2 linked regions of the Cricetulus griseus genome follow. The protein of the gene in region 1 purifies or fractionates together with the protein of each later gene. This does not show direct contact. Links are inferred from orthologs where the notes say so. Each region holds a gene or a part of one and is shown in the gene's direction. Other genes may lie near its edges.

Evidence for each region. The genes of interacting proteins can lie anywhere in the genome.
Region 2: the proteins of Cct2 (region 1) and Tubd1 purify together in Homo sapiens (co-immunoprecipitation; 3 studies listed by BioGRID and IntAct, with this or other methods). This does not show direct contact. The link is inferred for Cricetulus griseus from reciprocal best matches to the Homo sapiens genes CCT2 and TUBD1.

Annotation. Positions count from the first base shown.
Region 1 is NW_023276806.1:139,273,207-139,280,000, reverse strand, and holds the start of Cct2 (T-complex protein 1 subunit beta), read left to right. Parts: upstream 1-2,762; 5' UTR 2,763-2,915; coding exon 2,916-2,918; intron 2,919-3,516; coding exon 3,517-3,591; intron 3,592-3,698; coding exon 3,699-3,764; intron 3,765-5,340; coding exon 5,341-5,452; intron 5,453-5,870; coding exon 5,871-5,947; intron 5,948-6,048; coding exon 6,049-6,161; intron 6,162-6,794. UniProt on the Homo sapiens protein: Component of the chaperonin-containing T-complex (TRiC), a molecular chaperone complex that assists the folding of actin, tubulin and other proteins upon ATP hydrolysis.
Region 2 is NC_048600.1:99,790,283-99,797,208, forward strand, and holds the start of Tubd1 (tubulin delta chain), read left to right. Parts: upstream 1-3,268; 5' UTR 3,269-3,412; intron 3,413-3,426; exon of another isoform or gene 3,427-3,682; intron 3,683-5,312; 5' UTR 5,313-5,360; coding exon 5,361-5,532; intron 5,533-5,800; coding exon 5,801-5,948; intron 5,949-6,926. Other genes in the region: Rps6kb1 (ribosomal protein S6 kinase beta-1), read right to left, coding at 2,913-3,053. UniProt on the Homo sapiens protein: Acts as a positive regulator of hedgehog signaling and regulates ciliary function.

The DNA of each region.
Region 1 (6,794 bases):
GGCGCTGCTCTCCGGGCAGGTGTTCCAGAAGGGGCAACTGGGGACGTGGAGCTGGATCTCCTTCCAGCAGTGGTTATTAAACTGCCTGGTCTCAGGCTCAGAGCTTGGTGAGCCCTGAGCTGGAGAAGTTTAGGTTAGGGGCAGGTTGTGCCAGCCATACCATGTTACAGGTAGGGACTGAGGGATGCTGGCAGCCAGGTCTGCTTGGCATGTTAAGTAGGCACCTCAGTTAGCCATTTGTCCTCAGCTTGAAACCTAAGTCTCAAGGCAAGTCTGGGGAGCCCTCCTGCTCCCGCCTGCCTGCCCACTTCCCTCTTCCCTGGACTGTTTCTCAGGAGCACAGCAAGGACTCCACTACAGCCAGCATAAAATTATCACCACATGGAGGGTTAGTCACAACACTGAAACTCTGTCCCAGAGCCTCCTGCACAAGGGTTAGCCCTCCCATCTTCATCTAAAAACAGAATGGTATTAGTATCTACTGAGCAGCCTGGGTGTGTTCAAATGATATGGTATAAAAAGCCCTCAACGTGGTGAATACCATGAAGTCAGCTATTATTATTAAAAATAACCATGGAATCTATGCCCAAACTGAGCATCATTTTTGCCAAGAATCTCAAGTGTTTACTACAACAGAGGTCCAGTCTAACCATGCCATACTAATGTTTATCGGGGGCATGTAAACTGGAGCTGTTCAGTGTGGTTGTGAATTACTTTATTCCTCGGGTCAACCCAATGATAGAGGTGCCGCTGCTTCTGCATTTCACAAACTAGGGAAACCAAGACATGTTAGTGACCCACCTCAGACCATCGGAAGCAGGGCTGGTAGAGCAGCTATGTGGTTGACTACTTGCCTCTCGTGCACAAAGGTCTTGGGTTCAACTGCAAGCACTAAAAACCCAAACCACCACCAACAACAAAAATCTGCAAATAGCAAAAACAGTTTTAAAAAATCTAACACGTGACAATATCAAGTGTTGGGGAATGTCTGAAGGCTTCATTCAGTGTTGGAGGGACACAGGGGCCATAACAATCTTTGTATCATTCCAGTTTTAGTGTATGTGCCGTGGAAGCCAATGCAGTAAAGCCACTGTGGAAGAATTTGGGAGATGGGTGGGTCGTCTGAAAGCCAACTGTACTCCTGCTGTATAATCCATCAACCCAAGCCCCTGAGTTCAATCCCCAATGCCACAAAAATAGGTAAGTTTTCAAACAAACAAACAAACAAAAAAAAAAAAAACAACAACAACAACAGGAGACCCTGTCTCAGTCGGGGCGTTGGTGGCACACGCCTTTAATCCCTGCACTGGGAAGCAGAGGCAGGTGAATCTCTGTGAGTTCGACCCTGTCTCAACATTTCCCACCCCACTTACTACTCTGGAGGTGGTGAGACCTGGGAGAATGGAGCTGATAAATGACACAGACTAAAATCTCATTCAATAGTCAACTCTTCTTCTTCTTCTTCTTCTTCTTTTTTTTTTTTTTTTTTTTTTTTTTTGGAGACAGGGTTTCTCTGGAGCCTATCCTGGCACTCGCTCTGGAAACCAGGCTGGCCTTGAACTCACAGAGGTCCACCTGCCTCTGCCTCCCGAGTGCTTAGTGCTGGGATTAAGGGCATACGCCACCAAAGCCCGGCCAGTATTAAATTGTTAAAAAGAAGTTTGTGCCAGATAGTGGTGGCACACACTTTTAATCCCAGCACTCAGGAGGCAGAGGCAGTTAGATCTCTGAGACTAGCCTGGTTTACACAGCTAATTCCAAGACAACACAGAGAAATCCCGTCTTGAAAAACAAAACAAAACAAAAAACAAAAACAAAACAGGAAGTCAGCTCCCGAGAGCATCCCTTTGACCAGTATGCTACACCAGCCAGCAATGATTATAACTAGAAGGGTGGAAAACCCAATTTTTGGTAGAACTTAAAAGAAAAAAACGTACGTACGTGTGTGTGTGTGTGTGTGTGTGTGTGTGTGTGTGTGTGTGTGTGTGTGTGTGAGAGAGAGAGAGAGAGAGAGAGAGAGAGAGAGAACTGAACAAGGAGATTGTCAGACTATGGACACCCCAGCAGCAGCTTGCTACCCCAGGCTGCCCGAGCCACTGCCGGAGCCACTCCTGCCTCAAATGTGGCAACCGATGACAAACACCTGAAGTGTGGCATGAGGCAAGCACCCCCGGGCCCGCTGATTAGAAAAGCAGCTGTGAGTCATCCGGACACTGGGAACAGAAAGCGTTTTATCGGCAGACTCGTCACAAAGCCTCAGAAAGCTCTGTCAACCAGAGCAGCCTTTTCCAAGGCTATGCTTCTAACTAAGGAGCAGGTTAGTTCCCTACTAAGTTTTCTGGACCGCTCTCCAAAAAGCCAAAAAAACAAACAAAACAAACAAACAAAAACAAACAAAAGGCCAGCTAGGGGAATTCTGTGTAACATGGGCTTTATGCCCCAGAAAGAGAAGTAGTCTCCACGCAGGTAAATAATCCCCACAAAGGGAAAAAAAGATGAAAACTTGAGTGTTTGCTTCCAGGGAGAGTTAGTGAGGGAAATGATTAGCGTACAACACTTGAAACTGTACATCTGACCTTAAAAATACATGTAAGCAGGAACTCAGTTTCTGTGTCTCTTTGTTCTGGAGTTCTACTCTAAATGGGCCCGCCCTTAGCCCCTCCCCCATCTGCAGTGACTTCCGCCACTGGGCGTGGCGCGAGTCCAGTCCCCCCACCCCCCACCCCCGGCCTCCAGAGGCTACGCTTCCGGCACAGCCCACTACGCAGGAGGGAGGCGGTCGCACGGGCGGAAACCTGCGCGGTCGGTTCCGCCCCCCTCGGTAGAGTGTGTCGTCACTTCCGCCTTCCTTTCCCCTGCCGTCTTCCCGGCGCGGCTTGTGAGGGATTATCCTCTGCGCTGAGTTCGTCGGAACCATGGTGAGCTTAGCTTTCGGGCCACGACCTCCGCTCCTGCCCGGGTGCCGCTGTGTCCCGCTTCCCCGCCGCTCTCTTTTATCTAACGGGAGACACAGGCCCCCTGAGGCCGTCTCCCGGGCCGGCCGGTCGCACATGGCCGGGCGTGAGGCCTGCGTGGGATCCGCAGACCGAACTCTCTACGGGGGGCGCGAAGGGAGAGTGCACCCCAAGCCAGCATCTCTGTCTCAGATCAACTATCTTCGTGGTTAGGGGACCCCGATGACCCCCGGGACTCACCCCAAACGAAGAAGTTTCTAGTACTCTTGTCAGCCCCGCCCTCCTCGGGGCGGGGCCTGACGGGCGGGTGGCTGTGCAGGCCTGTGGAAGATGGAGGGTCCCTGGTGGTTGGGACCACTGTGCCTCCGACGCCGCTTGCCTCCCCCTTAGTGTTGCCTTTAGTTTAGCCCTACATACCAGCCGGTTGATTGGTTCCTGGCGCCCACCAGTAAGTCCCTCTCGCCATTTAAATAAACTCCCACTCCCATGACGGACTCCCGACATGTGTTAATTTCAAGAGTACTGGCATTCAAACGGAGTATCTTGGTTTCCCTTTCTTTAGGCGTCCCTTTCCCTGGCACCTGTGAATATCTTCAAGGCTGGAGCTGATGAAGAGAGAGCCGAAACAGCTCGCCTGGTAAGCCCGTTCATTCCGCCTCTTTTAAATGACAAGATTGTACTTTTCTCTCTTCTGGTAAGTTTTGACCGCCTTTTCTGATTTCTTTTTTTCTCTTTTAATTTAAGTCATCCTTTATTGGTGCCATCGCCATTGGAGACTTGGTGAAGAGCACTTTGGGGCCCAAGGGCATGGTAAGAAAAATTATGTTTTGCAAGCTAAAACATTAAATTATAAAAAATTATCCTCCTGTATCCCCATCCCCAATCGAACATTACTCTCCACTGGCAGCAAGTGTTACCATTTATATGCAAAACCTGGTAGTATTTTTAAGTTTATCATAGATTTTCATAATGCATTTCTAAGATAACACTTTTATGTGTATGTGCTATTGGTGTCTACTTGGTTTTTTGGTGTCCTCTTCTAAGCTTCTGTCAGTTTTGCTACCTCTTTTGACATGCTTATTATTTTTATAGCCTTACTGTCCTTCCACCCACAATCAATCTCTTAAAGTGTTCTCTCTTCTGCTCCAGCCCTCTGCCTCTCAGATTTGTACAAACCTTTCCATCATTAACACTTCCAAAATACATAGACACTTCCTAAGAAGGACCTTTGCCCCTGTTGCTTACTCCTCTCTAGAACTCTGTAGAATGCCCTCTTTCACAGCCCTTCTGCTCATCACTAAATCTTACAAGCTCCGGGATCTGCTCTCACAATCTATTGATCCCCTCTTACCATCTGTTCCCACCACTATTCCCCTCAACTCCTAACTTACAAAGGACTCTACTGTCACTTCCATCGCCTCAGATTTTATCTCCAAATTTCTCTTTATCAAAAACTCATCACTGACATTCCTTACCCGTCATTCCCTCAATCCCTCCATACTTACCCTTTTCCTTAGCATTCTCCTTTCTGCCCCAGATCCTCTACACTCCTGTCAAAAAACTCTCCAAGACCTCTTTCCCCATCCTTCTCATACACAAGAGGGTCCTCCAGCTCCTTCCTGTCTGACCCCTCCATTGTTAATAACTCATCCTCACCCTTAGGCTCCTGTTCTCTCATGATCACCTGTTCCACACAAATCTCATCTCTTCTCAGACGCCTATGTTTCCTCTGCCCAAATGATTGCCAAATGCCTACTACTGCTTCATTCCACTAAAGTCATTAACTGTCCATATGTCCTTCGATATCATAAACACTCTGAACAAACCCCACACTTCCAATTTCAAGACATAACTAAACCCAAGCCATCTCCTCTCTGGCACACATGGCCAAGCCCTGACTTGGGTCAAGGTCACCCAGCAAACTTTCAACTTCCCTGATACCTCCTCCTTCAGTGCCTCCCACTGCTTTCTTTGACCCTGTCTTCAGCACTCTGTTTTTGTTGAACTCCCTCTTGTGGATTTTTACCAATTTTTTTAAATTGATCTTTTAACTAGCATAAGGAGGGTTCCATTGTGATGATTTTTAAAAATACGTTATTTTTCTTTAACCACAATACAGTATTCTGGGGTTTGCTTTTAACTTTGTTCATGGACATTTGCTTCCATTGTTGTCTGTCATGGTGCTGTAGCAGAGCTAGTTTGTGTTACCTGTACCTCCAAGTTTTTGAGGGTTGGTTGTCGGATACATGCATTGAAATGTTTGGTGGTCAGGTAACCACCCAGAGTGTTGGTGTGTCAGCAATGGAAAGCTGAGTGCAGTTACTGACTCCAGGTTTCTTCAAGAAGTACTTACTCCTCAATTTGACACAAACCAATTTCTCTTAAGGACAAAATTCTTCTAAGCAGTGGACGAGATGCCTCTCTAATGGTAACCAATGATGGTGCCACCATTCTAAAAAACATTGGTGTTGACAACCCAGCAGCTAAAGTTTTAGTTGGTGAGTCTGCATATCTATTTGTTAATAATTTTACAACTATTTAAATGATAGCCGTCATTAGCCATTGTTGAAATGAATTTCAGAAGTATCATTATTATCCATTTGGGGCTGCTGCAACCACAAACTAGGTAGTTTTTAAATGATACAAGTCTGTCTGGCTGAACTGTGAAGTCCAAGACCAGTGGGCCCAGTCAGTGAGGTTCCTTTTGCTGTGTCATAACATGGATGAGACAGAAAAAGATGAGGGATTAAGCTTCCATGAATTTGGGAGGGCACATTCAAGATACGGACTGTATTTAGAACTTAAAGTTCTCACAAACTTTGTCAGGTATGGAACCTACTATAAGTGGGGTTTAGCTTTTTCGTGGATGTTTTAAAAGGATTTAGGAATGTGGAGAAATAATTTTGTTTTTCCTAGATATGTCAAGGGTTCAAGATGATGAAGTTGGTGATGGCACTACCTCTGTTACTGTTTTGGCAGCAGAACTACTCCGGGTAAGAACTCAACACTTGCACCTTATTATTGTGAATGATTTTGAGCGGTAGAAGTAATCCAACCCTTTATTACTTTTATATGTGTACTTTTTTATTGACAGGAAGCAGAATCTTTAATTGCAAAAAAGATACATCCACAGACCATCATTGCAGGTTGGAGAGAAGCCACCAAGGCAGCAAGAGAGGCGCTGTTGACCTCTGCTGTTGATCACGGGTTGGTATACCAAGATTCTGTTGGGAAAGTCTGATCTAGAGGACGATGAGAAACATGCATGAGCATGGTCTTGCTGCCTTATCCTATCTACATGTCACCTCCAGGGATAGCCTTCCTAATCTCAGCTAGCTAGCATAGAAACTGATTCTTCACCCCGGCCTCCTGTGCTCTAAACAGAGACCCACATGCCTCTGCCTCCAGAGTGCTGGAACTATAGGTGTGTTTCCATGCCTGGTTTATTAATCTCTGTTTAACCTTGGTAGGCAACCCCTGTGTTTCTGGGTGTTGATACGTTCTGTGCAACATCAGTTGTTAGGTGCTTCAGTATATGACTGATAAAGTTTTCTTAAACTGTCTGCCCTTGAAGAATTGTATTTTTGGAAAGTTTTAGCTCTGTAATAATGTGGGAAATTGTTACCCAAGGAATATTTCTAGAAGTGGAATTGCTGAGTCTAACGTATTTTAATTTACTTTTATGTATATTACCAAATCTCCAGCAATGATTTCTGTTAGTGCCAAGTGTGTCACGAATGGATGTTTCCCCACATTCTTGACAACATTTGATGGTCTTGCTTGCATATCCCTCACCCAGTTTGGCGGTTTGATTGGAAAGACAGTATCCCATTGTTTACA
Region 2 (6,926 bases), on another chromosome or scaffold:
CATAATGTGAGTGAGGGACACACACACAATGCAGTAATAATTTGAAAAAGCATCTACGCAGGAGCCAATGAAATGGCTCAGCTGCTAAAGGCCCTTGCTGCCAAGTCTGAGGACCCAAGTTTAATCCTCAGATTCCCCACATGATGGAAAGAGAGAACTGACTCTCCCAAGCTGTCCTCTGACAACCCCCAACACATACTATTTCATACCTTCCTCATCATAATAAATAAATGTGGCTGGGCAGGGTGGTACACATCTTTAATCCCAGCACTGGGGAGGCAGAGGCAGGCTGATCTCTGTGAGCTGAAGGTCAGCCAGGTCTACAGAGTGAGTTCCAGGACAGCAAGGGCTGTTACACAGAGAAACCCTGTCTGGAAAAACTGAAACAAACAAATAAATGTGAAAGAGAGAGTCAGTGTGCAAACTGGATTTGGGGGTGCAAACCTACAACCCCAGCACACAGGAGAGAGGGTCAGGAGGATGAAGGAGAACCACAAGTTGAAGGCCAGTATAGCTACACAATAAGCCCGTGTCAATCAAATTTATCAAACTCAAGTCTTCAAGCTTGAAACTTCTGGTAGCAAGTGCTTTTTACCCACTGGGCCATCTGTCTGCTTCCAAGATATTTAAATCTATTCAGTATAATCTGCTGAATTGAGTCAAAAGACTCTAGTTGTGGGCAATCACTTCTTTGGCCTATGCCAAAGTTTCCTTATTATAACACAAAGAAGTGAGACTGCTCTGACATGCCACTAATGTTAAAAAAGAAAGATTTACACAACAAACTAAAAGTTGTACATTCACTATAGGAAGCATAAGATTTTCTAAGGATCTAAACTGTTACCACACTTCAAAATTTTAAAACTTTTTTTTCCAGAGTAATCTGGACTGATTCTCTTTAGGTAGCTGACCCAACACCATACCATCTCTTTCCCTTTATCCACCTTGGGACGTTGAGACACCTCTTTTAACACACTCAGTGAAGGCCTAGTGGTACACTGCCACCTGTATTCCTGGCACTCAGAAGCCTGATGCAGGAGAACTTTGAGTTTGAGGCCACCTGGCTACACAGTGACACATTGTATTTTTGGTTTTGATTTTTAAAGAATGCACTAAAGAGAAACATTTCAACTCTAAAAGCATTCCTCTTCAAAATCCCCCTCAATTACTTCTACTCTTCCTCCTAATTCCATTTCCCTAAGGCAGTGGTCACATTTCATTCTCTCATACACTTTTCCTATCCCAACAGTAGGCCAAACCTGGAACACCTAACTGCTCCTGAAGCACACTCAGAAAGTGAAAGAAAAACAAACAAGGCCCCAGTCCATCCCAAGAATCATAATACTGAATCTTCAAAAGACAATAGACCCATAGACCGAAAACTCCACCAGTAACTAATGACAGTATTCACATAAAGCCACACTCCTCAGCAATTTACTCTCTAGCCCCACTGCCATATGGAACCAATATAACTCAACAGTGTATCATATTTATAATTAAAGTAATCCTGTATTTGTTTCAAATTTAGTATTCACCATGTTTGATTAAAAGGCTAAGTGAAATTCCACATTTAAAAAGTGTGTGTCTCAAAACCCACATTTGGAACTGTGTAATTCTGAGAGTCATTTGATTATGAAAAGAGTAATACTTTGTTGGCCCACTTAATTTCATAAAGTCCTTATTTCAATTTTTTGCCAGAAGGGCACAATTTATTTACTAAAGAAGGAAAACTGGGGGTGAGAAGGGAAAGAGCCCCTATGCAAATACAATAAATATCTAAGATCAGCCCTAAACCTATATTCTTGTTAAAGAAGATGGCTTTAAATCACCATGAGGTTATTACTGAGGACATCTGTCCTGAATTGGTTCATTAGTTTGACATCTCATTTTTTTTAAACCTTCGGTGTAATATGTGTATACTTCAATAAATATTACTTTAGAAAAGGTGATAGTCCATAAATAACAAACTACTAGGGCAGCAAAGGTAAAAACCAAGATATGCAGTAGGAAAAGCGATTCTAAATTTAAACTTCAGCAAGGAAAACCCTCACACCACTATTCACAAGTCTCTGTTCAAGCAATTTATTTTTGGCGAGACAAATCACAGCTGTCAACGATGTTTCTTCCCCCACCCTACAATTAAATAAATTATTCCGAAAAAAAAATAGAGACATCTTCAACTTGAGGGGCATTAACTTACACATGCCGTGTGTCATTATGAATGTTTTTTTTTCCTTTAAAATGTCACACGGAAGGGGGGTTAAAAATAAAAGGCAAACAAACAAACCCTGGAAGATGCAGCAGAGCCCCCTTGCTCCCGAAATAAAACTCCTGGTGGCTGTAACAGCAGCGGCAGTGCTACTCCCGACAGAAGTTTTCAGCTGTCACTTCTAACAGCTGAGCGCTTCCTAGGAGAGAAGCGACAGGCCGAGAAGAGAGGTGGTTGTGGGGATTCTGAAGATTCAAGACTTGCACTCTTAAAACACTCCAAAGGGAAACCCTTCCGCGCCTCGCCTCACAACTGCACTTAGGGGACACCCAGCAAGATCAGCGCCCCCACCCCCAGCACACGCTCGCGCCACCCGGGCCACATTCAGGACCACAGCTCCAGAAGCCGAACGCGCGCCTCGGCTCCTCAGCGTTCCACAAACCCATCGCTCCGGGCTGCGCTGCTCTGGGGATGAGGGCGAGACCTGCACCTGCGCGCCCCGCAGAGGCCTCACACCTAGGGCCAGGTCCGCCCCGCCCGCTCCCCCGCTCGGCCGCGCCGCGCCTCAGCTCCTCCCGGAGACCGCCTGCGTCCCCCCGGGCCTCCGCGCCCCAGGACACACCAGGCTCCCTGAGCCCACGCCGCCACCCCGGCCCTGTCACCTCGTCCCCCCCACCCCATCCCCCGGGACCCCGGGCCTCACCCCCTCCTCCAGCTCATCCTCAGAGCCTGCGTCCTCTGGCTGGTCCAGGTCTATGTCAAACACTCCTGCCATGTCCTCAGCTTCCCTGTCTCGGAAGTCAGGCGCTGGGTAAAAGCCGTCCCGCCTCCGTCGTCGCCTCATGGGCCCGGACCCGCCGCAGACTTCACTGCTGCTGCCGCCATCACCGGCTGCTTAAGCTCAATGCGTCTGCGCCTAGGCCCCAGACTGGCTGCTCAAGTTCAGCCCCGGAGCATGCGTACAAGGTTCCGTGAAGCCAACAGTGGGCAGCGGACATGCGTAGCACTAGCTCCCGGCGCCAGGTACTGGCAGGAACATGCGCAGAATACCAACCGAAGCCAAGCCGGGAAAGTAGAGCATGCGCGTCACTGTCTAAGGCGTTTTCCTGGACACTGAGCATGCGTACCATATCTGAAGTTGATAAATTAAATTTGAACATGCGTGATTAACCTTTCTAAATAGAAGAGGAGGAAAGGGAAGAGGTGAGGAAAAAAAAAAACTTCAACGAGGTCTCCGTCTAAGGAGCATGCGCATTCGTTCGTTGTCCGTAGTTTTTAAAAGAAGTATTGAAAGTGAGCATGCGCATAATGAGAGGGTTTGTCTGAAGTTTGAACCGAACTGCAACTGCGGGTCGGAGAGCTGTCAGTGAGTGTGGGGCTAACGGGGAGCCGATAGGGCAGAAGGGCCAAGAGAAGAGTCTTGGCCTTGCTGTTTGCTAATTCAGTGGCTTTGGGAAGTTTCATAACCCTTCGGTAACTCAATTTCCTTATCTGTAAAATGAGAATAGTATTACCTACATTGCAGGCTTAGACGTTAAGTTGAAAATCTGGTTCGCTAGCTTCTGCTCATTTCCAGGGCTACACAGACTTGATGTGATGATGCATGTATCAAAATTCTCTTTTTAGCCCGCATGGTGGCCCACGCCTATAATCCCGGCTCTCAGGAGGTCGGAGGTAGAAGGATTACGTGTTTGAAGCCAGCTCAGACGAATAATAAAGATTTGTTTTAATACTTTATCTGGCCTTTCCCTGAGCTCCAACTTTGTTTTTCTTTCTTTTCTTTCTAAGAAAAGGGCCTTACTATGTAGCCCGGGCTGTCCTGGAACTTACTATGTAGACCTAGCTGGCCTTGAACTCATGGAGATCTGCCTGCCTGTGCTTCCCAAGTGCTGGGATTAAGGGCATGTGCCACCATGCCCCAGCCCTAACTTTGTTTTAATACTGGAACTAAGCATAAAACATTTCTTATTGATCTTTATTGTATTTACCTGGCCAGAAGCTGCTTAGTAGAAAAAGAATAAGTCATTTTCTTGAAAGACAGAAAATTAATGTTAGATGAATGTTCTGTTAATAAGCTAACTTCTGGTATCTATGTGACAAGAAGTGAATACGAAGAATTCCTTCAATTAGCTGGGTGGTGGTGGTGCCCCACCCTTTAGTCCCAGCATTAGGAAGGCAGAGGAAGGCAGATATTTGGGAGTTCGAGGCCAGCCTGGTCTACAGAGCGAGTGCCAGGTTAGGCTCCAAAGCTACACAGAGAAACCCTGTCTCAGAAAAAATAAATAAATAAATAAAGAATAAATTCACTCTTCGAGGTGGTGCAGTGGTGGCACATGCCTTTGATCTCAGCTCTCAGGTGGCAAAGGCAGGAGGAACTTTGTGCGTTTGAGGCCAGCCTCTGCCTCCTGAGTGCTAGAATTAAAGATACATGCTTACATGCCCAGACAAATAGTTACTTTTCATTAGTGTACATATATATTTTTTAAGGTTTTTTTTTTGGGGGGGGTGAGACATGGTTTCTCTGTGTAGCCCTGGCTGTCCTAGAACTCGCTCTGTAGACCAGGCTGGCCTCGAACTCAGAGATTCACCTACTTCTGCCTTCCAAATGCTGGAATTAAAGACAGCTGACTTACGTATTTATTGTGTACAGGGTTTTGCCTACACGTATGGCTTCAGGCCAGAAGGGGGCACCAGATCTCATTATAGATATGAACCACCATGTGGTTGCTGGGAATTGAATTCACGACCCCTGAAAGAGCAGCCAGAGCTCTCAACCTTTGAGCCGTCTCTCCAGCTTCATGTACAAATATGTTTAATTTTCTAAAAATTTTATTTATTTTTATGTTGTATGTAAATACCAGCACATCTGTATGTGCACCGTGTGCATGCAATGCCTGGGAAGGCCAGCAGAGGGCATTGGATCCCCTAGAACTGGAATTAGTGGCAGCAGTGAGGAGACCCAAACGTCTTCTGAAAGAAGAGCAAGTGCTTTAACCATTGAGCCATCTCTCCAACACTTTTCGTCTACATAATGAACACATGGCATATTGTTTGCTCTTATTAGTAATGTGGTGGTTTCTCATGTCTGTGTCTTTTTTTATAGGTCATCCATTCCCTTGTGTTTTAGACTAGGCCTAGCTTGTGGCTTGGCATGTCAATAGTAACAGTGCAACTTGGGCAGTGTGGCAACCAGATTGGCTTTGAAGTGTTTGATGCTTTATTTAGGGACACTCAATGTTCCCCTGGACTCTGCTCTAAGAGAGAAAATGAGGCTTATCAAGCATCTTGCAAAGAAAGATTTTTCAGAGAGGAAGAAAATGGAGGTAGGTGTGGTCAACAATCCTCTCCTTACTTTCATGTGAATGTCTTCAAAGTGTTTAGCTCATCCCTTCCATTGCACTAGGGAGGGCCTTTGCTTTTCTTTCCCTACCCCATGCTGGGGTTTAGTCTTATCTCCAACCCATGAATTAAAACAAAAACATAAAAAACTGAATCTAGGGCTGGCAATATGGTTCAGGGACTTAGAAGTTTATGCTCGCTCTGTGGTACTGACATAAAATGTATTATTTGTTTTTCTTTTCCTTACTCTAGTTCCAGTTGCCCGGGCTGTTCTTGTTGACATGGAACCTAAAGTTATCAATCAAACGCTATCAAAAGCTGGCCAGTCTGGCCGATGGAAATACGGTCAGCATGCATGCTTTTGTCAGAGACAAGGGTCTGGGAACAACTGGGCATATGGGTAAGAACAACTCCTCATGACTTTCAGTGAATTTAAAGCTATACAGTTAAGTATTCATACCGTGATAGTTGTATAGTTGACACAACAAGCTCAAAATCTTGGAAGTGCTCTGTTAAAATTTAGAATTTGGGGTCTGGTGTGGTGGCACAGTCTTTCATGCCAGCACTGAAGAGGTAGAGGCAGGCAGAACTCTGTGAATTCAGGCCAGCCTAGTCTACGTAGTGAGTTCCAGGCTGTCTTACTCAGTGTTTTGTTGCTGTGAAGAGGCACCCTGACCAAAGCAACTCTTATAAAAGAAAGCATTTAATTGGGCTGGCTTACAGTTTCAGAGGTTTAGTTGACTTTCATCATAGTGGGGAGCATGAGAGCAAGCAGGCAGATAGGGTGCTGAAGAAGTAGCTGAGAGATCTACATCTGAGTCCATAGGTAGCAGGAAGATAGAGACACAGGGCCTTGCTGGGGCTTTTGAAATCCCAAAGCCCACCTACAGACACACTTCCTCCAACAAGGCCACACCTCCTAATCCTTCTCAAACAGTGCTGCTCCCTGATGACCAGTCATTCAAATCTATGAGCCTATGGAGGCCATTCTTATTCAAACCACCACACAGGCCATCCAAAGCTACTTAGTCAAATCTTGCCTCAAAGAAAACTAAAATAAAATTAAGAATTTGGGCCACGGAGATGACTCAGGGTAGAGCCAAACCTTATGAACTCAGTTCAGTTCCCAGAACCCATATAGTATAAAGAGAGACCTGACTCCTAATGTCCACATATGTGCATGCCCTCCCGAAAATATGAAATAAAAAATTACAATTTAGAATGTGTCAGGCTTGGTGATGCAAGCCTATAATCCGAACTACTCTGAAAGCAGAGACAAGAGAATCTCAAGGTCAGTGTCTGCCAGAGCTATAGAGTAAGTTCAAGGTCATCCTGGGCAATTTAGCAAACCCCTGTCTCAAAATTACAAGTATATAAA